Nothobranchius furzeri: one gene and its partners. The protein of the gene in region 1 binds, or shares a complex with, the protein of each later gene. Links are inferred from orthologs where the notes say so. Each region holds a gene or a part of one and is shown in the gene's direction. Other genes may lie near its edges.

The links.
Region 2: eif3g (region 1) and eif3i share a complex: the UniProt entries of both Homo sapiens proteins name them as parts of the eukaryotic translation initiation factor 3 (eIF-3) complex. The link is inferred for Nothobranchius furzeri from reciprocal best matches to the Homo sapiens genes EIF3G and EIF3I.
Region 3: eif3g (region 1) and eif3d share a complex: the UniProt entries of both Homo sapiens proteins name them as parts of the eukaryotic translation initiation factor 3 (eIF-3) complex. The link is inferred for Nothobranchius furzeri from reciprocal best matches to the Homo sapiens genes EIF3G and EIF3D.
Region 4: eif3g (region 1) and eif3f share a complex: the UniProt entries of both Homo sapiens proteins name them as parts of the eukaryotic translation initiation factor 3 (eIF-3) complex. The link is inferred for Nothobranchius furzeri from reciprocal best matches to the Homo sapiens genes EIF3G and EIF3F.

What each region holds. Positions count from the first base shown.
Region 1 is NC_091745.1:3,308,742-3,314,752, forward strand, and holds eif3g (eukaryotic translation initiation factor 3 subunit G), read left to right. Parts: upstream 1-2,391; 5' UTR 2,392-2,472; coding exon 2,473-2,495; intron 2,496-2,584; coding exon 2,585-2,631; intron 2,632-3,550; coding exon 3,551-3,639; intron 3,640-3,728; coding exon 3,729-3,788; intron 3,789-3,863; coding exon 3,864-3,968; intron 3,969-4,255; coding exon 4,256-4,451; intron 4,452-4,535; coding exon 4,536-4,646; intron 4,647-4,755; coding exon 4,756-4,892; intron 4,893-5,042; coding exon 5,043-5,149; intron 5,150-5,224; coding exon 5,225-5,240; 3' UTR 5,241-5,321; downstream 5,322-6,011. Other genes in the region: suppressor of SWI4 1 homolog, read left to right, coding at 1-913. UniProt on the Homo sapiens protein: RNA-binding component of the eukaryotic translation initiation factor 3 (eIF-3) complex, which is required for several steps in the initiation of protein synthesis.
Region 2 is NC_091751.1:3,239,119-3,244,881, forward strand, and holds the start of eif3i (eukaryotic translation initiation factor 3 subunit I), read left to right. Parts: upstream 1-1,898; 5' UTR 1,899-2,035; coding exon 2,036-2,038; intron 2,039-2,346; coding exon 2,347-2,439; intron 2,440-2,531; coding exon 2,532-2,619; intron 2,620-2,696; coding exon 2,697-2,762; intron 2,763-2,881; coding exon 2,882-3,031; intron 3,032-5,763. Other genes in the region: txlna (alpha-taxilin), read left to right, coding at 1-133. UniProt on the Homo sapiens protein: Component of the eukaryotic translation initiation factor 3 (eIF-3) complex, which is required for several steps in the initiation of protein synthesis.
Region 3 is NC_091745.1:29,242,158-29,248,250, forward strand, and holds the end of eif3d (eukaryotic translation initiation factor 3 subunit D), read left to right. Parts: coding exon 1-33; intron 34-122; coding exon 123-208; intron 209-286; coding exon 287-359; intron 360-1,028; coding exon 1,029-1,150; intron 1,151-1,230; coding exon 1,231-1,363; intron 1,364-1,449; coding exon 1,450-1,597; intron 1,598-1,766; coding exon 1,767-1,897; intron 1,898-1,966; coding exon 1,967-2,052; intron 2,053-2,137; coding exon 2,138-2,267; intron 2,268-3,869; coding exon 3,870-4,012; intron 4,013-4,098; coding exon 4,099-4,291; intron 4,292-4,377; coding exon 4,378-4,471; intron 4,472-4,872; coding exon 4,873-4,886; 3' UTR 4,887-4,989; downstream 4,990-6,093. UniProt on the Homo sapiens protein: mRNA cap-binding component of the eukaryotic translation initiation factor 3 (eIF-3) complex, a complex required for several steps in the initiation of protein synthesis of a specialized repertoire of mRNAs.
Region 4 is NC_091751.1:40,239,349-40,245,156, forward strand, and holds the start of eif3f (eukaryotic translation initiation factor 3 subunit F), read left to right. Parts: upstream 1-1,905; 5' UTR 1,906-1,951; coding exon 1,952-2,063; intron 2,064-2,277; coding exon 2,278-2,348; intron 2,349-5,808. UniProt on the Homo sapiens protein: Component of the eukaryotic translation initiation factor 3 (eIF-3) complex, which is required for several steps in the initiation of protein synthesis.

The sequences.
Region 1 (6,011 bases):
TGAGGGTTTTCAGATCGGCGTGCTGCCGTACATGTACGGGCTTGAATTTGTCGTGGCTTTGGCTGGAAACGTGTTTGCTTTGTGGCTTCTGTTCACTAAAGAAAGAAGAAACTGGCACACAGGTGTGGTCCTGTCCTGTAACCTGGCCATCAGCGACCTGCTGTACATCCTCACCCTGCCTCTGCTGATCGTCTACTACTCCAACAGAAAAGAGTGGGTGTTCGGGGATGCCATGTGTAAAACTGAGAGGTTTCTCTTCACATGCAACTTGTACGTGAGCATCTTCTTCGTCATGGCAATCAGCGTGAACAGATGTGTGGCTCTCGTGTGGCCCTTCTTTGCACGCTCGTATGTGGAGGCCTTTCATGCTAAAGTCGTCAGCGTCATCATTTGGATCACTGTTGGAGTCATCTCCTCCCCGGTGTGGAAATTTGCTTCCATTTGCCCTGATGCCAACAACAAAGGCAACACTGTGTGTGTGTCCTTCTGCGATTCAAAAGACCCAATGCCTCACTTCACCCACAAGCTTTTCCTCACGGTGTTTGGGTGCCTTGTCCCCTTCCTGGTAACTTTCACATCTTACTGCCTGGTGATCCGTGTGGTGTGGCAGAATGCCAGCTTGACGGTGATTGAGAGGCGTAAGGTAACCCTGCTGGTCACTTCAGTGATTGCCTTGTATGCTGTGTCCTTCATACCATACCACTTCTCTCAGATCTGTCACTTCTACCAGAAAATCTACAATCCTCACGACTCTACCTGCGGGTTCTACATAATGTATCAGGTGTCAAAGGGTCTAGCGACGCTGAACATGTGCATCCATCCAGTGCTCTACATGGCTGTGTTTGACAGCATTAGAGTAGCGTGTTGTGGAAATGGCCAAGAGCAAGACGATGAACAGACACAGAGGAAGTAGAGCTGCTGCTCAGTGGTTTCATGTATGGTAGCTATATCCTTATTGCTTATTTTTAAACGGTAAATCGTTTTACCAGAATGCACAGGCACAGAATTCAGCAGCCCGTATTATCACCAGAACCCCTTCCTTTCACCACATCACCCCGGTTCTCCAGCAGCTTCACTGGCTCCCAGTTAAATTCAGGTCCATCTTCAAAATTCTCCTTCATACCTTCAAAGCAATCCACAACCTCTCTCCTCCATATATCTCAGACCTTATAAGTATTCACACCCCGTCCCGTTCACTCAGATCTTCTTCTTCCATCCATCTTGCGGTTCCTTCTGCCCGTCTCGCTACCACGGGGAGCAGAGCTTTCAGCCGCTCTGCTCCTCGACTCTGGAACTCACTTCCCCCAGACATCAGGAACGTCGACAGTTTTACCCTTTTCAAAACAAAACTCAAAACACACATGTTTAAATCTGCCTAAAACCTCTGATTTTATTGAAATGTTTCTCTCTGTTGTTTCTTCTTTGGGTTTTATTATTGTTTTATTGTATTTTATTACGTGTTTTGTGTAAAGTGACCTTGGGTGTCCTGAAAGGCGCTTTGAAATAAAATGTATTATTATTATTATCATTATAAATCGTCTTTATTTGTATAGCGCCTTCTTAGGGTTCTACAACCCCCCCAAGGTGCTTCACAACACAGTCATTCACATATTATTGCTATTTTTTAAAGACAACATAAGAACCTCTAGTTTTATATGAAATTAATTCTGCACACGTTTTGTCTGCACCTGCTACTGCTGACAGTTTTTCTTTCCTGCAGCGTTGGAACAAATCCTGATGTAATGACGGTTTTCTTATGTTGATATGACCTATCAGGAAAAACAAACATCTTGTATTTATTATTATTATTGTTGTTGTTGTTGTTGTTGTTATTATTATTTCATAACTATAATTGCTATGACCCAAAATCTATGCTGGAATAGTGATTGAGCACTTTTGTAAAAGTTCCAGTACTTTTATTGCTCCACTGAAAACCAGATTGAAGTTTCATTTCATTTGTTATTTTTTTCTCATTCTGCAATTTCCTTCATCACTAATTCACAACACACTCATCAAGTACAATGTTCCAAGTGAAAAAAGAGAGACAGCAGGGAGGAGGAAGAAGTTAATGTTTTCTATAATATGTGCATTTTTTCTTTGCTTGTAATGAAATAAAAACGATCTAATATTGCCACTGGGGTGATTTGTAAACTCATCATACTTCTTTTGACTTTTGAGAAATTTGACAACAAATGTGTAAATCTGATGCTCCTAATATTTTTAAGCACAAATACGAATTAAGTTACCACAGAATTCACATTAAGAATCCACATGAGAAGTTATTTTCATAACAATAACAACGAATTTTTATTATGCAATTTTACGATTTTGTCAACAATTTTTGTCAGCACCAAAAATAAGCTCTTATTTTGAAAAAGTCTGACGAGTTGTGCCTTTATTGCGAAGTTTTAACCTCCGGAAGTGCGGTGCTCGGTTCGCGCTGGTTCTTCCGAAGCTAGGCTAGCCGAGAGGATGCCGTCGATTGAATACGACGAGTAAGAGTCTAAATGAAACGTAGGGTTTTTGTGTCTTTATTGAATGCGTGTAACCGTTGTAATAACGAGTTTGTGTGATTCTATTCTAGCTCAAAGCCCAGCTGGGCTGACCAGGTGGAGGAGGAAGTAGATGAAGGTAAACAGCATTTTAGCTTCGCTAGCTAGCTCGGTGGCAAATGTGACCTAGAGGGTTGGATGCTTAAGATCCTAAAACCGTAGGTGATAATAACCCTTGATGAAAACAGCAGAGGCTTATTCACAAGTTTAACAATTTTTATTTATAGATACAACCCAGGTCGGGATAAAAAGTAGACTAAAAACTCTAAAACACGGGAGGGAGGAGCGACGACAATGCTGGCCCTGGGACTACACACGCAACGCCATCTATTTCTATTTAAAAGCACAAAGCCGCTGTAGGGACCCGAGACAAGAGACAATAATATAAAGAAAAACACTCAGTGCTCCCCTGACCCGGTTACACAAAGGAGGCCGGTGTTGCAGTTCCACGTGGTTGAACAGCATTAAAGACGAGCTAAAATATGCAAGTTTGTTAAATTTTATAAGAATCTGCCCTTAAATCAGTCATGGGTTGGCGTGACTGAGAGACGAACGGCTTAAGAAATTGCGTTATGATAATGAGGCAGTGGTCCCCTGACAGTGACGTAGGGGTGTAAAAACAGTCAAGATAATGATGCTGACGGAAACTAGACTGATTAAATATTCATAAAACATTTAAAGTCGTCAACTGTTCCAGTTGATGTGAAAACGAAGATGTGACGTCACATCAGGAGCATCCTGATCCTGACAGTTCAGATCAGTCCCAGATAAACTCACATTTAGTTGAAAGTTATTAAAGTATCCCCGGATGTTAAGCTTATGGTTGTTTTTCGTGCATCTGCGAATGTTGTATACCTTTATCTTGATTATATTCTTACTTCCCATATTTGCTGTTTTCTTACTTTAATCGTTCTTTTTTGCACAAAGTGCCGCAGCAATTTCCTAATCTGATTTCTCGCACATATGTCACTAAAACCCTAATGATTCTGATCCCATAGGCACATTACCATCACCAAAGGAGACCATCAAAGGAAACATCAAAACAATCACTGAGTATAAGATAGATGATGATGGTAAAAAGTTCAAGGTACTTTGTTTATGTTGCATCAATAAATTTAAAAGGCAAATAATAAATGTCTCCTGAAATATTATAAGTGAAACATTTTGGTTCTCTAGATTGTGCGGACCTTCAAGATCGAGACGAGGAAAGCCTCAAAAGCTGTTGCCAGAAGAAAGGTCCGTGTTTTATTAAATCATATCAGTGCAGTTAATAAATGAACCGCCTTCTGATATTTACCACTCTCATTTCAGAACTGGAAGAAGTTCGGCAACTCTGAGTTTGACCCACCGGGTCCTAATGTTGCAACCACCACTGTCAGCGATGACGTCTTCATGACTTTCATCTCCAGCAAGGAGGTACAGGATATGTCCAAGTTGCTGTTTTCCTTCAGAACGCAAAAACGAACAAGAACATTCTTTAGGAAATGTTCTAATGGAGCATCGATAGTTCGCAGCAGGTTTAAAATGCTGCTTGCACTACTTTTTACAGCTTGCTTGGTGTTCACAATTACCACATTCAACAGCTCTAGATCTTCTCATTCTGTAATGTGACTCAGAATTTATGAAGTTCATGGCTGCAAATTTGTAATTTTTACTGTAATCAAGTTGTTTTATCAAAGTTGCTAATCTTGCTTTTTTTGCAGGACCTGAATGCCCAAGACCAAGATGAGGATCCAATGAACAAGCTCAAAGGGCAGAAGATTGTGTCTTGTCGTATTTGTAAAGGGGACCATTGGACGACCCGCTGCCCGTATAAGGACACGCTGGGCCCCATGCAGAAGGAGCTGGCTGAGCAGCTTGGGCTTTCCACTGGAGACAAGGAAAAGACTGCTGGTTCTGGTACCATTATCACCATTCTCATTACCACACTTGTCTGCTGCTGCTAGTTTCTAAAGGTGTGACAGTAATTGTGGCTTTTCCTAGCTGAGCCAGAGCCTGTTCAGCCTGCACAAAGCAAAACTGGAAAGTATGTCCCGCCGAGCCTGAGAGATGGAGGCACAAGAAGAGGGGAGTCTATGCAGCCTAACCGCAGAGGTCAGTTTGTGTTGGTATGGGTGCTACATTAGCAATATGTGGTCATTTTTAATCTGGTCATGCAGCGTTGAATAAACGTCTCAGTAAAACGAATCATTGCGTTTAACAGCTGATGACAACGCTACCATCCGTGTGACCAACCTGTCTGAGGACACTCGTGAGACAGACTTGCAGGAGCTTTTCAGACCGTTTGGTTCCATCTCAAGGATCTATCTGGCAAAGGACAAGAACACGGGACAGTCCAAGGTTAGTGCTCACCTTAGGGGTGACTGGGCTTTACAAGTGCTGGCCTTTCACAGTTTTTCTGCAACCTGCTGTTATCTACCATCTAGGATTTGAGATTGACGCTGAAAAAATCAAGAATCATCAGTCAGATTTTTTTTTATTGCTCTGCAGGGATTTGCCTTCATCAGTTTCCACCGTAGGGAGGATGCTGCCAGAGCCATAGCAGGAGTGTCAGGATTTGGATATGATCATCTTATTCTCAATGTTGAATGGGCCAAGTAAGTAAATTATCACTGTTGTCAGTAAAATGATCAGTGTTTCATATTCACTAACATAATTTACTTCTGTTACAGACCATCAAACAACTGAGGACTTCATCAGAATCTTAACAGAAAGATGCCAGAATTAATGAAATGTGGCCGTTACCTAAATAAAGATAATTTGTCGCTGCTTCTCTGTTTGACTCTGTGCTAAGGTCTGGAGCCTAGAGATGGTTCTTTGAAGTCATGTTTTACCATCTGCTGTAGAACAGTGGTTCCCACAGTTGGTCCCTGTGTCAGTCATGGACAATGTGTGTAGAAATTACTACAATCACTGCCCCAAAATATTTATAATGCATTAAAATCTGCCATGATAAACTTGACAAACACATTGGTAATGCATGTTGTCATTATGGTCTTGCATATTTGATGTTTACAAATGCTTCATTTTGTGGCCAGGAAACAAAATGGCAACGCCTTGTGTAAAAAGATGCATCTGTTTACCGCGTAACTCACTTTACACGTGTAGGCGTCTTAAATAAGCTCATAATCCAGATGTGTGAATGCTGTAAAGCAGGACTATTCTATGCTGCAAGCCTCTGCCACCACTTACCTGCTCCAACACCTGGGTTAGTGATCGACTCACTTCTTCACCATGTTCTCAAGTTCTTCAGATGCCTGTTTAACATCCATCGATGAAACAAGGTTTTTAATGCCATACCTTGAAGACATGAGGTTGTGTATTATTTACAGGTCCTTCTAAAAAAATTAGCAAATTGTGATAAAAGTTCATTTTCTGTAATGTACTGATAAACATTAGATTTTCATATATATTAGATTCATTACACACAACTGAAGTAGTTCAAGCCTTTTGTTGTTT
Region 2 (5,763 bases), on another chromosome or scaffold:
CAGCACCTGTCCTGTACCAGACAGCTCCTCTGACTCCCCACCTTGCCACTGTGAGCCACAGCTGGACACAGTTGCACTCCCAGAAGAGGCAAACTCCCCACCTGTCCCTGTTCTTGTCCCTGCACAGGAATAAAGCAGGACTGCTTCGTCTCCTCCTCCCTTTCAACGTCCAACCACCAGCCTACAGGCCGCTGGAGCAGCTGATGTTCAACGCTGAGCTGGAATCAGATTTACACCAGATGAGTCCAACAGAAGGGTTAACGTGTGTCCTCCCAGCGTCATCTGCAGACGGGCTTCCTTCACCCCATCCTCTCCAGCTGAAACTAAGCTAGTTCAGATCATTTTATTACAATAACTAGAGTTGTTGCTGAAGGCTTTACTGAGCTGTGTGGGAGGACACCACCTAAGCAGGTTTACCACAGGTGTGTGTGTGTGTGTGTGTGTGTCTTAAGTGTTGTTTTCTTCCATCTCTACCATTCCTTCCTTTAAGTAAGAGCTGTGTGGGACTGTTGAGGGAAGCTTTTCAGTCCAGCCTTTTATCCTTTTTTTATTATGATTTTTTTTGGCAGAGTAAATCCTGGATTATTAAAGAACGTTTTAGAACTAAAACGTTTGAACTCTTATTCATTTGTGTAGTGTTTAAATGTGAGTCTGTATTTATTGTTGAAATCATACAGTCACTGATATCGGGGGTTAAAATAAAGGATATTTTCATTTAAGCTGATCATTTTCATTCATTTTACTCCAAATTTGTCATCCTTACCTCTCCTGGGTTATGTTGCACATTACCAGTTTAGTTATTAGTATTAGCACTTTTATCTCATTTAACTCCATCTTTGTTCCGTGTGTGTGTGGGATGTACCTGTTTATATCTGTGATGGTCCTGGGAACGGCAAAGGCTTCTGGTCAGGTTTATTCTAAAGAATGTCAAAGTTCCTCTATGCAACGCTTGCATCTTGGTTTTATTCTGTGGCCTCGACCCACGAGCACTTAGCTGAGAATGTAATCTCATCATATCCACTGTTCTGCATAAATGTGTCGGGGACGACATATCTCACAGTTTAAGGCCTTTTTCTTCCAAGGGGTTGATACTTTTACATTGGGTGCTTTTGAAATGTGCATTGATCTGAGCCAAGTGAGAAAACTGAGAGGAGAAGTCTAATTTGATTTGGTTTCCTCCAAACACACGCCTGTTTCCCCTGTGCACTACATATGTAGTTTCGACAAAGCAATGCCATCCGAAACAGAAATGCAAATGTTTTTCAGTCTACCATAGGATGTATTCACTGTACTGTTTACTTTTCATATAAACCAAAGATGTCTCCCTGTTGTAGTTTATCTTTTGCAGTATGTTATTTTCTGGCCCTGATTTTAAATAAAATTAGAGTATGTCTGATTTTCTGGCAGATTATTTTTTACAGTGAATTATTTGTGTCATAATGAGAATTTTGAGAACTATGGAGATAATTTATTGTGATTTTTGAGATTTTGTGTCACCATATTTCCAGAATGAAGGGCACAGGACTAATTTTTCTTTTTAAATACTGTATTTGATGACCTTCAAAAAGAATCCAATAAAATCACTGTCAGAAAAGTAAATTTAAGTGACAGAAACTAAACGTAATAAAAGAAACTGGTGAGGAAGGAGTGGTTTCGTGACTGACAGAAATGCAAAATGATTTACAACTTATACAGGAGGGTGGCATGTTATCATACATTATGTTGATAAATATCATGTATGTAGCAGTATTCGGGATTAAATATTCACAAATGAGCTGATAAGGAGCAGGACTGAAACGAGCACAAGTTTGGGATCAAATTACTTTATTTTCTAGATTCCAGAAAGTCCTTCATACCACATTTGTCCAGGAGGGGGCGGCAGGTCGTCCATCTGCGGTTAATACCATCGAAGAAGAAAATGGAAGCCTTCTCTTCCGCCACAGCTCCGGTGTCTGACACATGAGGGTTTAACTTTTCTCCCATTGTGAGGCGCAGCAAATTGACTAAAGCATCTGGAAACACCTAGCTGACGACAATGGTTGGTATATTTATTTACAAGGCAATGTTTACCTGGCGGTTTTCAGTTTTTGTTCTTTAGCTTGTCGCTGTAGTTTGGGGTTTTACTTTGTCTGTTGTGGCTAGCTATAGCTTTTCACGTTAGCTAATGTACATATTCATTTTGGCAGAAGTCTTGAGTTAGCTAAGCTATGAAAGAGATTTCTGTGACTCGTATAGTGTTGGTGCTTTACGCCTAGGCAAGTCAAAGCTACGTTATTCTTTCTTTTTTCAATTAAAACAGTCATGTGTAAATGCTAGCTTAATCTGAACCGTTATCGGTGTTTCTAGAAACCCATTTTGCTCCAGGGCCACGAGAGGTCCATCACACAAATCAAATACAACAGAGAAGGAGATCTGCTCTTCTCGGTGGCTAAAGATACAGTGAGTTGGTACACACTCGCTCTTCTGTCGGATCATTCAACACGACGTTTGGGAGCAGCCAAACTCATCCCTGCTGTTCTGCTGCTATCCAGGTTGCCAACGCGTGGTACTCTGTGAACGGAGAGAGGCTCGGGACCTACAATGGACACACCGGAGCTGTGTGGTGTGTTGACTGTGACTGTATCCTTTGCACCTCTGCCTAATGTAAGCTAGGGGTGTCTGTCAGTGAAGTTAGGCATCTTAACTAGTTGTCTCAGGGGACACAAAGAACGTGTTAACAGGATCAGCAGACAACAGCTGCAGGCTGTGGGACTGTGAGACTGGTAAGTAAACCTTAACAATGTGCTTTTCCAAAGAGGTGGACATGATTTTTAGGGTATTGGGATAGTTTGTAAACCTGACATCATGCTGTCTAAATGACATCTTTAATGTGTTTTCACAGGTAAACAGCTGGCTCTGCTCAACACCAACTCTGCCGTCAGGACGTGTGGGTTCGACTTCAGCGGCAACATCATCATGTTCTCCACCGACAAGCAGATGGGTTACCAGTGCTTCCTGAACTTCTTTGACCTGAGGGATCCACAGCAAATAGGTAAACATTAAATGCGCAAACACACACACGCACACATGTTCTGCAATGGTGTGGCCACAGTATATGGACTGGATATATACCATTTTAAACAAACTTTCTTACACTTTTTGCAATTTTTAATGTCAGTCAGACACCTAAATAAAGTTAATTTAGACCAATCCTGGTCCTGGAGGGCCGGTATCCTGCATGTTTTAGTTTGAACTCTGTTTCAATACTCCTGATTTCAATCAGCAGCTAATTAGCGGTCTTTTGCAGCGCCTGATGAGCTGCTGCACAGGTGTTTCAACCACTGAATCAAGTCTGTAGGAGCAGAAAAACCACAAAACCTGTTGGATACCGGTGTCGGCACAGGATCTGCTCGGGTGCAAAATTGGCTCAGGGTCCGTCGACTGCCGATGACGTCTAAGTAGTTGATTGGCTGCACATGAACCTTACGGAATTACGTAATCACGTTACGTTGTTATCACGTTACGTTGGTCCAGGCAAATCTTTCTGTTGGAAAGATGGACAACTTTTACAAAGAAATCCATCATTACCTCTTTGAAAATACACTTTGAGCATAGAGCTGCATGTATATTAGGGCTGAACGATTAACTGCATGTGTAATTAAATTGCGATGTGACAAAAGGAGATTTTCTAATCGCAAAGGCTGCAATTTGGCAGCGAGTGGTTAGCGCAATGCTAATATACATGGAAAAACCCATAGGAATGCTAATGCTAATATCGCCGATTACATGATCAAATTATGAATTAGAAACGTGCCAAATGATTACATTTGGAGTCTAATAGAAAGTAAAAATACCATCAATCAAATAAGTACAGACAGGTATTTTAGTAAAGCCAGAAAACTTTTAACTCCAGAGTTTTGGCTAGCAGCTATGAGCGTAATGAACTACGCATGGACAAGACGTCAAAAACTCTAAACACAAAATACTTCAATAAATGGGACACACTTCTTTCCTGCAAATACAATTTCACAGGTGTTGCTAATACCTATGATTCTTCAAGGGATGTGCTCAAAGAGGAGTTCAACATCATGACTACAATATAGTGTTTTATTTTACAAATACCATTATAAACACAAACTTACGTCTTAAGAAACATTATTTTAATAAGGAAACTGCTAAATTCTTTCCAACAGTATAGATGTGTACTGTATTTTGTCCGAGTGGGTTTGCCGTACTTTGACGTCATCGGCAGTCGAAGGACCCCGAGCCGATCTTGTACCGACACCGGCCCTCCAGGACCAGGATTGGGCACCCCTGATTTAGAGTATTTATTATGCAGATGTTATTAGTGAATGTTGGGGAAAAAATTTGAATTAAATTCTGCAACAGCACCAGGGTGACTATAGATGTGCCTGACTTTAAATCAGCTTTACTAAGAAAAAACAGCCGATGAATAAAAAACTAAACATTGGCCAACCAATATAATCGGTCCACCCCTAATTCACTCATTCCTTTATTCCATGTAGCAGCTCAGTGGTCACTGTTTTTCAAAATTGCATTGATTCATGTACCAGACTATTAGACGAAGAAATAAGTTAAGATCGTCTAGCCTAGTGAACTAGACCAAATTCTTGCCTTGTAATGTTTGGTGTGGGAACGCTCCACCGGAACTTCTGAGGCCTCCTAGCAGCATTCTGGCAGATGTGTTTTAGTCTTTTATTTAGAAAAAGGATGTATTTTTGCCGCCTTCAACGGCAGACATCCTTGTTTACAGAGGTTGCGGTGAGTACTCCACGTTGTTCGTTGTCCAGTAGGGTGCAATGATTGTTTGAAAGACAACGGTAGAACCCGCCCCACGACAGGCAATGGAACATTAAATAATATTATGGATTTAGTCTGGCGTGCCAGGCTAAAGAACATCCAAAATATCTCAATTTAGAGACTATTTTAAGCTAAAGAAGGTCATAAAAGTGCCAACTATGCTTCTGTTGAAACACACGTAGATTTCCTCAATAACACGTGTGCAGCAACTTTTCCCACACTGAAACATTTCAAAATGAATTGACATGTTTTGTGCACGTGTCCTGAATCAAGTTGAAGATGGTGTGATGTAGGGTCGTCACGGTGTGAAAATGTAGCCTCGCGGTTATCGTAACCAAAATGAAAACGGTATTATCGCGGTATTTTTTTAAACGTGTTACATTTTCAGACAACTAAATAAACCCTGTATGTCAGGAAAATATTGTCCTCAGTTTGTGTCTAAATTTTGCCTAAAACGTGTTATTTTGTAATTATGTTGTTTATTTGTTTACATTTTTCCCCTTTAGTCTTTAAAATACCAATATTTGCCCATAACTTCAAAATTTTTTGTCTGTTTGATGTCATCATTTTAAAAATATTAGACCAGATGATACTCAGTACTCAAGTAGCCTTCTAATCAGATACCGTATTTTCACGACCATAGGGCGCACCGGGTTATAGGGCGCGGGCATGGGCACGTTCAAACGTACCGGTGTCGGTACAGGATCTGCTCGGGTGCAAGATCGGCTCGGGGTCCTTTGACTGCCGATGACGTCAAAGTACGGCAAACCGACTCGGACAAAATACACTACACATCTATACTGTTGGAAAGAATTTAGCAGTTTCGTTATTAAAATAATGTTTCTTAAGACGTAAGTTTGTGTTTATAATGGTATTTGTAAAATAAAACACTATATTGTATTCATAATGTTGAACTCCTCTTTGAGCACATCCCTTGAAGAATCATAGGTATTAGCAACACCT
Region 3 (6,093 bases), about 26 Mb from region 1:
GCGTACCAGAGGAACCGCATGCGGTTTGCTCAGGTAGAGCATATTGTTGCAAAACAGTTTAGTCCTGATGAGACTATTGAGCTTCATGTAGGTCAGCAACAGACGTGGCTTTGTTTCCACAGAGGAACCTTCGCAGGGACAAGGACCGTAGGAACTTGACTCAGTTCAACATGCAGACACTTCCTAAGAGTGCCAAGCAGAAGGAGAGGTGAGATCATTACTCTGAGCTCCACTGGAAAGATCCAAGCTGAACAATGAGCTTTACCTCACTCTTTCGCCTTTTCAGAGATCGTTTGCGTCTGCAGAAGAAGTTCCAGAAGCAGTTTGGTGTCCGTCAGAAGTGGGATCAAAAATCTCAGGTGTCGATTATTTAATTTCTATTGTTTCCCTTTTAGAGCAGCAGAAATCAAATCATATTCACCAATAAAAAAACACATTCTTGGTTTATTTTTAAAGGTGCGGTTCATTGTTTAGTCGGTGCATCTGCAGTGGTCTCTAGTAGGAAGGGATACCTTGTAAGTCGTACTCTGTGGGTGCATCGGGCAGAGTGATATTTGTCCTTAGGAAAACCGATTTAAAGTCGGGCACATCCTTGGGCAGCCAGGTGCTGTAGCAGAATTTAATTTAAATGTATTTTTATGTTCATTGTTAAATACTCTAAATAAACTTTATTTATGTGTCTAATTTTAACGGAGTGCACAACGTTAAAATTTAGAAGTTGGTTCAAAAACCGATTCAACTTCAGAAATTTAGTGCATTAACTGATGTTGTTAGTGACATTTTAGCATGACCAAGAAGTGGAAAAACATCTGGATTTGGCCGTAAAAGTCACATCGGCTATCTCCTACGTGTCGGCGTCGACTTTAGCTGTGTGCGTCGGCAATAGAGAAACCAGTAGAGGTTGACCTCTATTTTCTGCTTCAGTCTGAGGATTCATGATCACAGATGAATGATTCTGAAGTATTTGGGTCTGTTTGAAGCCGTTGTGATGGTCTTTGGTGAATTTGTGTGTTTGTGCTGCTTCTCAGGCCCAGCTGAAGCCCAGAGACTCCTCTGTGGAGGTGAGGAGTGACTGGGAGGTGAAGGAGGAGATGGACTTCCCCAGACTGATGAAGATGCGATACATGGAGGTTTCTGACCCTGTTGACATGTAGGTGAAGCTTGTCTGGTCTGGTCTGGTTTGTGTTTGGGTTGAATCTGTACATCTGTAAAGTTCTGGTCCTCCTGCAGCGAGTGCTGTGGTGCGTTGGAGTACTACGATAAAGCGTTCGATCGGATCACCACCCGCAACGAGAAGCAGCTGAAGAGCATCAAGAGGATTTTCCACACCGTCACCACCACCGATGATCCGGTCATCCGGAAGGTTGGTGGCTCCTCACCGGTCCAGCTCCTCCAGAGGCTCTGAATGTTTTCTGGGTGGAGTTCTAATCTGGTTCTGCCTTCCTCCAGCTGGCGAAGACTCAGGGCAACGTGTTTGCTACAGACGCTATCTTGGCCACATTGATGTGCTGCACACGCTCCGTCAACTCCTGGGACATCATCGTGCAGAGAGTCGGCAACAAGCTCTTCTTTGACAAGAGGGACAACTCTGACTTTGGTGAGTTTTGGGGAGTTCGCCGAACCTGCCTGAAAACGGAGGAGCTCTGGTTCCATCTGCAGTTGCAGCCAAAGGCATCAAACAAAACGCGATCACGTCTGCGTTTAACCTCCGATTAATGCAAGCAGAACGATTTATTTTAGGTTGTTTTCCTGAATTATTTGAACAGATTTGCTAACTGTGAGTGAAACCGCCAACGAGCCTCCTCAAGATGAGGGAAACTCCTTTAACTCTCCTCGTAACCTGGCGATGGAGGCCACCTACATCAACCACAACTTCAGCCAGCAGTGTTTACGTGTGGTGAGACCATCACACACAGATCCAAACACACACACTCACACACACACTCTAACGTTCAGCTGTGTTCAGGGAGGAGAACGGTACAAGTTCCCAAACCCTAACCCATTTGTGGAGGAAGACATGGACAAGAGCGAGGTGGCGTCTGTGGCCTACAGGTAGGTCCTGGGTTCTGGTGTTGGCTCCATCTGTGGGACGTGATAACCGGATCTTCTGACTGACTGGTGCTTTTTGGGGATTCAGGTACCGTCACTGGAAGCTCGGGGATGACATCGACCTGATCATCCGCTGTGAACATGACGGAGTGATGACTGGAGCGAATGGAGAGGTGTCCTTCATCAACGTCAAGACCCTGAACGAGTGGGACTCCAGGGTAGGAGACACCGTTACTGGTTTCAGAGAAGGGAACAAAAGCATGTCCAGTAAGACAGCAGCAGCTGGCTCTGGGTGCTGCGGCCAACAGGAGGCTGTGGGTGGCAACAGGCGGTTGGTTTCCTTTTGGACCGCTTCAGTTCTTAAAACACATGTTCCATGTTCTTATTTCCTGCAAACGAAATCTTTCTGTAACTTTTCTTGTCTTCAGCCTAAATAAAGGCTAACTTAAACTAGGGCTGCTCGATTATGGCAAAAATAATAATCACGATTATGGTGACTGAAATTGAGATCACGATTATTTAAGACGATTTTTCAATTTATGTTGATTTTATTTGTTTTTATTCAGTCACAAAATTGCTCAGGCCACAATCAGGACAACAATGAATAAGAAACAAGATGATCACTAAAGTAACTCCTGATTCCCAGTATAAAAAGACCAATATACTTATAGCTCATAGTCTATGACCCAAGGGCTGTAGACCTTGGTTTAACTCATGTAAGTCTAACCAGTACAGACCCAAATACCAATATCTTGCAAATACTGACAGCAAGAATTATACAGTGGCATTTATAACAAATAAATGCAAATAAATTGATGTTCACAAAATGTTGCATAATATTTATTTAGTCGTGTCAAAGTGCTGTAGGAGAGTGCACTAGCACCGTGTCCTCAGAGAGATTAGTTATCAGCGTGAGGAACTTATTTCTACCTTATTTATAAACTATTTATTTACAAGTCCATCAGTTAATGTAATAATTGTCTCAACCACAGCTGCACCCCCCACCCCCCACCCCGGTCTCACAGCAATCCGGGGCAAGCTGCACGTGTGTTTAGCACGCGCACATTTAGCCGTTTTTAGTGGCTCAGGAGTCCGCAGGTGCGGTGTGTGTGTCACTCACTCTGGTTAATCCAACAAGGAGCCGGCTCCGAGAGCAGTTTCTTAAGCGACTGACACATCACTACATCATTCCCTTTCCTAATGTCCTGAAGAACGGTCCGGACGCGCAGGCGGAGTGTTTAGCTAACCTGCAGGAAATGTCGACGACAGTTATCCAGAAAGTAGCTAAGGGTTACCAGAGATGTTTCTGAGGTGGTCGCTAGGTACTTTTAAGATTTAAAAAGTCAAGAAGGGGGTCTGAAAAGCTGTTAGAAATAGCGTCAAAGTCACTAAATTGGCAACACTGTGGGAGGAGCGCTTCATTTGTAACTCAGGGCAGCGCAAGCGGGAGGAGCAAATAATCGGCTTGTTTTGTTTTTTATAAACGTTCAAAACTCAGATCGTAATCGTGATTAAAATTCGATTAATTGAGCAGCCCTAACTTAAACTAATCTATCAAGTCTATAAGAGGTCAGAATTCATGTTTACAAACCCTCCGGCTGACTTCTGACAACCACCGCCTTCTTGGTCTTCCTGATCAGTGGGACGGTCCAAAAGTTCACATTTTCCTAAATAATAATTTACAGATTCAGATATCTAATTAACATAAATTATTCTTATTGCTGAAACCAGTCATCTCTATAATGTTGTTGGTTCATGTGCAGCAGCCCGGTTCTGACGGGGAGTTGTTGATCCATTCCTCATCTCTGTTTCATCTTCAGTATTGTAATGGAGTGGATTGGCGCCAGAAGTTGGACTCTCAGCGGGGAGCCGTTCTGGCCACCGAGCTGAAGAACAACAGCTACAAACTGGCCCGCTGGACCTGTTGTGCCATGCTGGCCGGGTCGGAGTATCTGAAACTGGGGTGAGTATGCCGACCCTGTGATGGGAGCTAATGGATGATGGTCATTAAGCAGGCTGGACCTGACTTCCACCACGTGTGCTCCTCAGGTACGTGTCTCGGTACCACGTGAAGGATTCTTCTCGTCACGTCATCCTGGGAACCCAGCAGTTCAAACCCAACGAGTTTGCCAGCCAGATCAACCTCAGCATGGAGAACGCCTGGGGGATCCTCCGCTGCGTCATCGACATCTGCCGCAAGCTGGATGAGGGCAAGTACCTGATCCTGAAGGACCCCAACAAGGTGAGTGGAAACGAGTCCCAGAGGACCAAAGACGGAGGTCCAGCTGACAAGTACTGACTCGTTCTCACTCTGGTTCCACTAAACAGCAAGTGATTCGAGTGTACAGCCTGCCTGAAGGTACCTTCAGCTCTGATGAGGAGGAGGAGGAAGAGGAGGATGAAGAGGATGAGGAGGAGGAAGGTCTGTTATTTTAAACTTGGTTTTTGAAAACCGTTTAGAGTGAAGTGACCTGAGAGATGAAGAGAAAACTAAAATCTTTTCAAAAGAAGGACCTGAATCATGCTGATGTACACTTTCCAGAGCAAAGATGGCCACAATAGAACCGTTGGCACTTTTGAAATGTGATTCTTTATAGAAGAAGTTATTTTCGTGACTTCAGAGGCTTTCAGGTTTCTGGATAAAAATACCATCTATCTACTTTGTTGTCTACCACATGTGCAGCACACGCATACGGAGAATGGAAACTATTTCCCTCTGACCCTTAGTGCAGTACATCAGCTTTAAAACGAGATCTGATGGTGTTTTTGTTTACATTGAAAGCATCTCCATATTCAACCTGATTTATTGATTTCTTGTTTCAGATGAAGAGAACTGAAATGTGGAGCTTCCTTCTGTGACCAAACCAGCCTTCATCTGGAGAAACAGTTGAATTGATTTTGACACTTAATAAAAACAGAATGGTCAAATTCAGTAAAGGATTATTGTGTAATTTTGTTTTTATTTCGGAGGAATACAAATAAGTCAAAAACAACTAGAGTTGTTTTCTGGTTCGTGACCAGCAAGGCTCTCGATTTACCGCCCAGTCCTCACCTTTGGTCATGAGCTTTGGGTAAAGACGGAAAGAACAAGATGGCGGATACAAGCGGTTGAAATGAGTTTTCTCCACGGGATGGCCGGGCTCGGCCTCATGGGCTCGACACACGGGAGGTGACATCGCCTCTCCATTCATGTTCAATCAGACGTGCGTGACAAAGCGATAATCGGGTCTCCCTCCTACTAAGCCAAATGCGAAAAACGTGCGTGTGAAATTTTGTGCTCGTGCACGTGTCGTGCACAGGCGACCCAGCGACGCGATCCCAGAAAGTTGAAATATTTTCAACTTTTCATCGCTGTCGCTCGGACGAGGACCAATCAACGGAGGTTTCATTCACTGACCAATGAGCAGACAGGATGCTCCTACACCTCCGAGCAAACATGGAGGAGAAGTTGATTATTATTATATTTTATAGTAAAATCAAAAGTAAGATTTCACATAACTCTAGCAGCACCTTGTGAAACATCATATCTAGCGCTTTATTAACTCTGAACCGCTTAAATAACCTTAATTCCCTCCAACCTGACACAGCCAAGCAAAACAACGGAAGTTTCCATTTCACCATGGAACAGAACGCGTAGACGGCTTTGCCGCTGCCGCGGGTCGCCTCCCGTGTGTTCGGTAATAAAAGCGACAGCGAGGAATTTCGCTGATCGCGGTCGTTTGTCGCCTCCCGTGTGCTGAGCCCCTTAGGGATAGGGTGAGGAGCTCTGACATTCGGGAGAGACTTGGAGTAGAGCCGCTGCTCCTTATCGAGAGGATTCAGTTGAAGTGGTTTGGGCATCTGGTCAGGATGCCTCCTGGACGTCTCCCCAGGGAGGTGTTTCAGACATGTCCTGCCAGCAGGAGCCCCCCTGGTCGACCCAGGACACGTTGGAGACGGTACATCTCTGATCTGGCTCTGGAACACCTTGAGCTCCTGCCGGTGGAGGTGGTTGAGGAGAGGATGGTCTGGAACTCTAGTTGGGATGCTGCCCCCACGACCCAG
Region 4 (5,808 bases), on another chromosome or scaffold:
CAGAAAATAGACAGTGAAACGCTAGGATCAGAAAAGCCTGGCAGATCTACGTCAAGCGGTAGCTTCACCCATCCTGGCTCTGGACGGGGAAGGCTGTTGTTGCTTTAGCATCTAGAATTAGCAGAGTGCATCTTGGCCTGCAGAAGCTAACTGTTAGTGTTAGCATTAGCAAATCAACCATATGGCAGAAGCTCCCCCAGGCTTGTGTTATTTGTGGAGATAAAACATCCATGTCTCAGAGCAAACAAAGTCAGAGGTAGAGTCACAGTTCTGTCATCCAATCTGAGGCCAGATGTCCAAATATTATGAAATATGAGCCCAAATCCTGCCATGTTGAGCTCTCCTCTAGGCAGACTTGCCCATGCTGATCCAGGCGTTTCTGGGCTTTCTTTGCCCAGAGTAAAGCTTGCAAGGCACTCATTCCTACCAGTTGCTTAAATGAGTTTCCCACGCCTTTAGGGTTTATGGAATTGTTGACTAAAATTGTCTTTTCTGCAATAACACACAGCACAAACTTGATTTATTATACAGCGTAAGAGAAATTATTATGTTGTTCATTTATTGTTAGTTAATGTGTGTTTTTATGAAACACAAGGACAGAATAAATCTCTCCTTTGAGAGGCAACCTAATCCTGGAGAGCAGCTGCACATTAGAGCCACTTTAATTATGCTAGTTTCACAAAAAGCTTTGGGCTCTGTGTGTGTGTGTGTGTGTGTGTGTGTGTGTGTGTGTGTGTGTGTGTGTGTGTGTGTGTGTGTGTGTGTGTGTGTGTGTGTGTGTGTGTGTGTGTGTGTGTGTGTGTGTGTGTGTGTGAGCATGCACTTGATGTTAAATGTGTTGGATTTATTCTGTGAGCCTGCTGAGATTTCTTACATAAGTCCCATAGAGGACTCAGAGTTAAACATGCAGTGAGGCATGGTGTTCCTGAATCATTTGCACAGTAAAATGGAGTCCAGGTCCTCCACAGACCTAGATGTTGTGCGTCCATGCAGGAGGAGAGATAGATCAAGATGACGCATCACCCCTGATGGATGGATCAGAAATAGCCTCTTGACAGTGTCAATGAGTCAGCCACAATGCAACAGAAACCAAACGATCCAGAGAGCGGATTCGTGCCAAAACCAGCAGAGAATGAATAAAAACCTACCCGCTCAGTGTGGAAACTTCTGGCATTGATCGAGCTGATGTTTTATCCTATGAACAACCATCTGGTCCATGAACGAACCGGTGCTGGCAACCTTGATTCGGTGACTCCCATTTCTGCTCTTTATAGCTACCAGCGAGCCGGTCCGGGAAACCGACCCGGAGAAGGGGAAGAAAGCGCCTCGAAAACGATCGCTCAATAATCGCAGTAAATAAAAACGTCATCCGGTGAGAAAACACACATTTTAACTTCAACGACTGCGCAGAGGCGTCTGTAAAACATGTGCCAGGATGTGCGAAATGGTGGCAACAGGATGAGCCGGCAGCGCGAAAAGCTCCATCATCTCATCTGTGCGTCTCATGGAGTCGGCAGGTGTGCAGCCTCTGAGCGGCGGAGGACGCTGTCATCATCAGTCCAGCCCCTGTAACCCTTCCTCGCTCAGGCTCATCTCATCTCTACAACAGAAGGGGGACGGTCTTCCTCCACCCACCTGCTGACCCCACAGCAACTGCAGTTTTTGCATTTAATCATAAATGTGTGACATTTAGCTTTAATTAAATAAACAGTTGCATTTGTTGTTTTGTGTGCGTTTATTGTTGCAAAACTATACAAGTTACGCCCTAAACCATGAAAAATCAAAAAGAGTATGTTCTATTTGCTTTCAGAAACAGGTGTTTACCTGTTGGGTCGTCACTGTTGACGAGTTGTTTATTAGCGTAGGATTCAATAGCTGCAGTTTGCCCGCCCGCCTCTAGGTGGCGGTGTATGTTGTCGCTGTGGACGGTGGTACGTCCTCTTTCTCCAAGATGTCGGTGTTCGGGCCAGTGGTGAAAATTCATCCCGTCGTTCTTGCTTCTATCTCTGACTCTTACGAGCGTCGGAATGAGGGGGCAAGTCGAGTGATCGGAACTCTCTTGGGTAAGCAGAAACCTGAAATATCTGTCCAGCCGGGGGAGGAGACTTAATTTTCCTAGCTAAAATGCTATAGCTAACTCCTCAGCTAATCTGCTAGCGCACGTTGGCTCGGTTCAGTGTTGAATCAAACCGCATCTGGTAACCGCTGGAGCTGAACGTAAATGCTGATTCACCAGGAAACCCAACGAGACACTCATTTCTATCTGGTGTGTTCTAGGTACTATTGACAAGCACTCTATTGAGGTGACCAACTGCTTCTCTGTCCCTCACAACGAGTCCGAAGATGAGGTGAGCTACAAAAAGCACGAATTCATTGTATTCTAGTCTTGATTGTCACAGGCTGCATTGGGACCCTGTATTTCTGCTGCTAGCTGGCAGTTTGCATCGATCACTGGGATTGTAACAGAAAAACGGAAGTGTGTTACAGGAGTTGAGCCAAATAATGGATTGTTGATACTACCACATTCATTGTTTATCGTTTACAGCTCATATTCGGTAAAATAACTTGACAGCCAAAATTAAAATGGTTAAAGATTTATATTTTTACTTGAAGCTGATTAAGTGGGCAAGTAGTAGCAGTGCATAATAATGTAATCCCACCATCTCCAACTGAACCTCTCTAAAACTGAACTACTTGTCATCCCAGCAAAACCATCCATACAGCACAATATCTCAATCCAAAATGACTTCCTATCTCTGGCTCCTTCAAAGGCAGTTCGAAATCTGGGTGTTGAGATTGATGAACACCTGACCTTTAAAGATCATGTTACCTCTGTTGCTCGTTCATGCCGCTTGGCGCTGTATAACATAAGAAAGATCAGACCATACCTAACACAACATGCCACCCAGCTCCTGGTGCAATCTACTGTCATCTCCCACCTCGATTACTGCAATGCCCTTCTAACTGGTCTTCCAGTCTGTACTGTGAGACCTCTTCAAATGGTCTAGAACGCAACGGCACATCTGGTCTTCAATCAGCCAAAAAGAGCACACTCGCCTACCAAGCACTACAAGAACGGGCTTCTTTTTCAACTTTCAAGAAACTCCTGAAGACCCTGCTCTTCAGAGAGCATCTTCTAAACTAGCACCTTCCCTGCACCCGTCCTCCTCTCTCCTGTCCACTCCGTGTTCCCTCCTCTCCGTGATTCATCATGCAGCCTCACTGCCACCTACGACTGACTGAAAATTGTTTGTTGTTGTTAGCCTCAAGGGCAACATGCCGATTATAACTTGTAAGTCGCTTTGGACAAAAGTGTCTGCTAAATACATAAACATAAACAAATTACCTAGTTTAAATGTTAGGTTTTAGTAGAAATTACTGTAATAACTAAGTGACACAAGGTGTTTTTCAAACTTCTGGAAATGCTGAAAGAATGATCTTTATCTGTATGAGTATTTGCATTATTCCCATGAAATGTCAAGTGTACATAAGTTTTTAGTTTTGAGAATAATCTTTATTTCAACTGTTTTAAGAACGGTGAAAAACACCTTATCTTCTCAATGAATGCATAAAAACATTAAAGTATTTTCTGTCAATTTACACACATTCAAGGTTGTGGGAAAAATTCTTCAGAATAAATGTTGCCCATTTTGGTATAAAGTGATATACAGCCATCTAGTAATAAATATGCATAAATGTTACTGCATATTTTATTGTTTTGATGTGGGCTAGTGTATCTGATATAAAAGTAACATTAGAATATATTTAGTTAACTGGTGGGATGTTTACATACGTAGGTGATCCAGATAAGGAGGTAATATCACCATGTGTGTAGATCAGTGGTCCGCAAATGGCGGCCCGCGGGCCACGTCCGGCCGGCGAGCCCTCTCTTTGTGGCCCCCAAACCCCCACCCGCGATGGCCGACCGGGAGGTGTAGCATAGATAGAGCTGAGGAAAATACTCATAATCAATGCATGAGATGCGGGCATAAACTATTTCTGCGTCATAGAAGAGTACCTTAATCAATTATAGTGGAATGTGGTTTTGTTATTTTAACGGCGGCACCAGCATCCAAATCTGTCAAAGTGGGTGTTCTCCACATTTACCGGGTAGGAAACTTTGGTCCGCCTTTATGTGGTACTGCAGGGCTGAGTGCTGGAGTTGTAACCTGAGACCGAACCGAATCAGCCCAATTGGTTCTGTTGGATTTGGGCCGTGAATTATGTTAATTGAGCGGGTTGTCGCACGGCGCACTCTGCTCGCTCAATCGGCGACTGAGATGAGGGGGTCGGAGGACACTCCTCCAAACACGCATTATTATTTTCATAATTTCATTATTATTTCTCTTCGAAGCGCTCAGTCAGTGTTGTGATGTCGAGAGATCTGGCCTTGGGGAGGGAGCGGGGTGAGTGACGGCGGCTGCAGCGTGATCATCTGTCTCTTTTATTTAGGGACACGGAGAAGTTAAAAGGAGAGAGAAATAGAAGATAGAAGTTATTGTTCCACTTTATTCTTTTGTTTAATGATGATAAACTGATGTTAAATTCAGCTTAAAGAGAAACTGGGAGGAGGCTTTGGTTCATTTTAAGTTACGGGAGATCTTGTATGATCTGCTCCTCCAGAGACGGCATGGACATGAGGGTTACATGGTGAGGGTCCCACAGGACAGGTTAGTGCAGTCACACAGCTGAGCTGGAGAGGGACAGGTGTTCTTAAAGTTAAAGTCCCATTAGTTGTCACACACACAGGTGTGTGTGCGAAATTTGTTCTCCGCATTTGACCCATCCCCTGGGGGAGCAGTGAACTGCAGACACAGCCGCGCTCGGGAACTATTTGGTGGTTCAACCCCCCAATCCAACCCCTTAATGCTGAGTGTCAAGCAGGGAGGCATTGGGTCCCATTTTTTCTAAGTCTTTGGTATGACCCGGCCAGGAATCAAACCCTGATCTCCCAGTCTCAGGGCGGACACTCTACCTCTAGGCCGCTGAGAAAGGTACTTCTTTATGTTGCAAGCTTGTGTGTTATGTGCATCACAGCCAGCGATCCAAACAGCAGCCCCCCCCCCCCCCCCCCCCCCCCCCAAAAATCCGGCCCTCTTGCTTCTGGGTCTTTTTTGTGAGTAGCCCTCGGACCGTTATAACTGAGGACCCCTGTACGGTGTAGATGATTATTGATGTTGCAGTATTGAAAATGTAATAACATGGTAATATTGACATGAGCAGTAGCAATAATGCAAAGGCTTCCAACAAATGACAAACTCAAGCTGCAAACAACTGTCCTAAATCCCTACATGTAGTGTTGATAGTGTCATAAGATAACGTGGGTGTATCACAACCGATATTGTCATTAAATAATAATATGACCTGTGCTGCCCTCATCATTATTTCCACTTGTACCATCAGCATCATCACCACTACTGCCTTGATAAACTGCTATGTAGAAAACAAATGTGACCTGGTTCTTCTATGTAACAGCTGCTCTGTCTGCTGAGGTTTGTAGTCCAGGAACGGTTCGGCAAAAACATCTCATGAAATTCTGTTCACAATATTATCGCTCTCTTCTCTTAGCATTGGATTTTACCATGAACTCACATTTCCTTTTGATGGTTGAGGTCAAACTTAAACATGCACACACACACACACACACACACACACACACACACACACACACACACACACACACACACACAAACATTTACACACACATCCATACACGGCCATAAAATTAAGCTAACAGTGAAACATTTGTAAGCACTTATCTATGAATAAAACTATATCTATAAAAGGAGGATATCAATTAGAAATAAT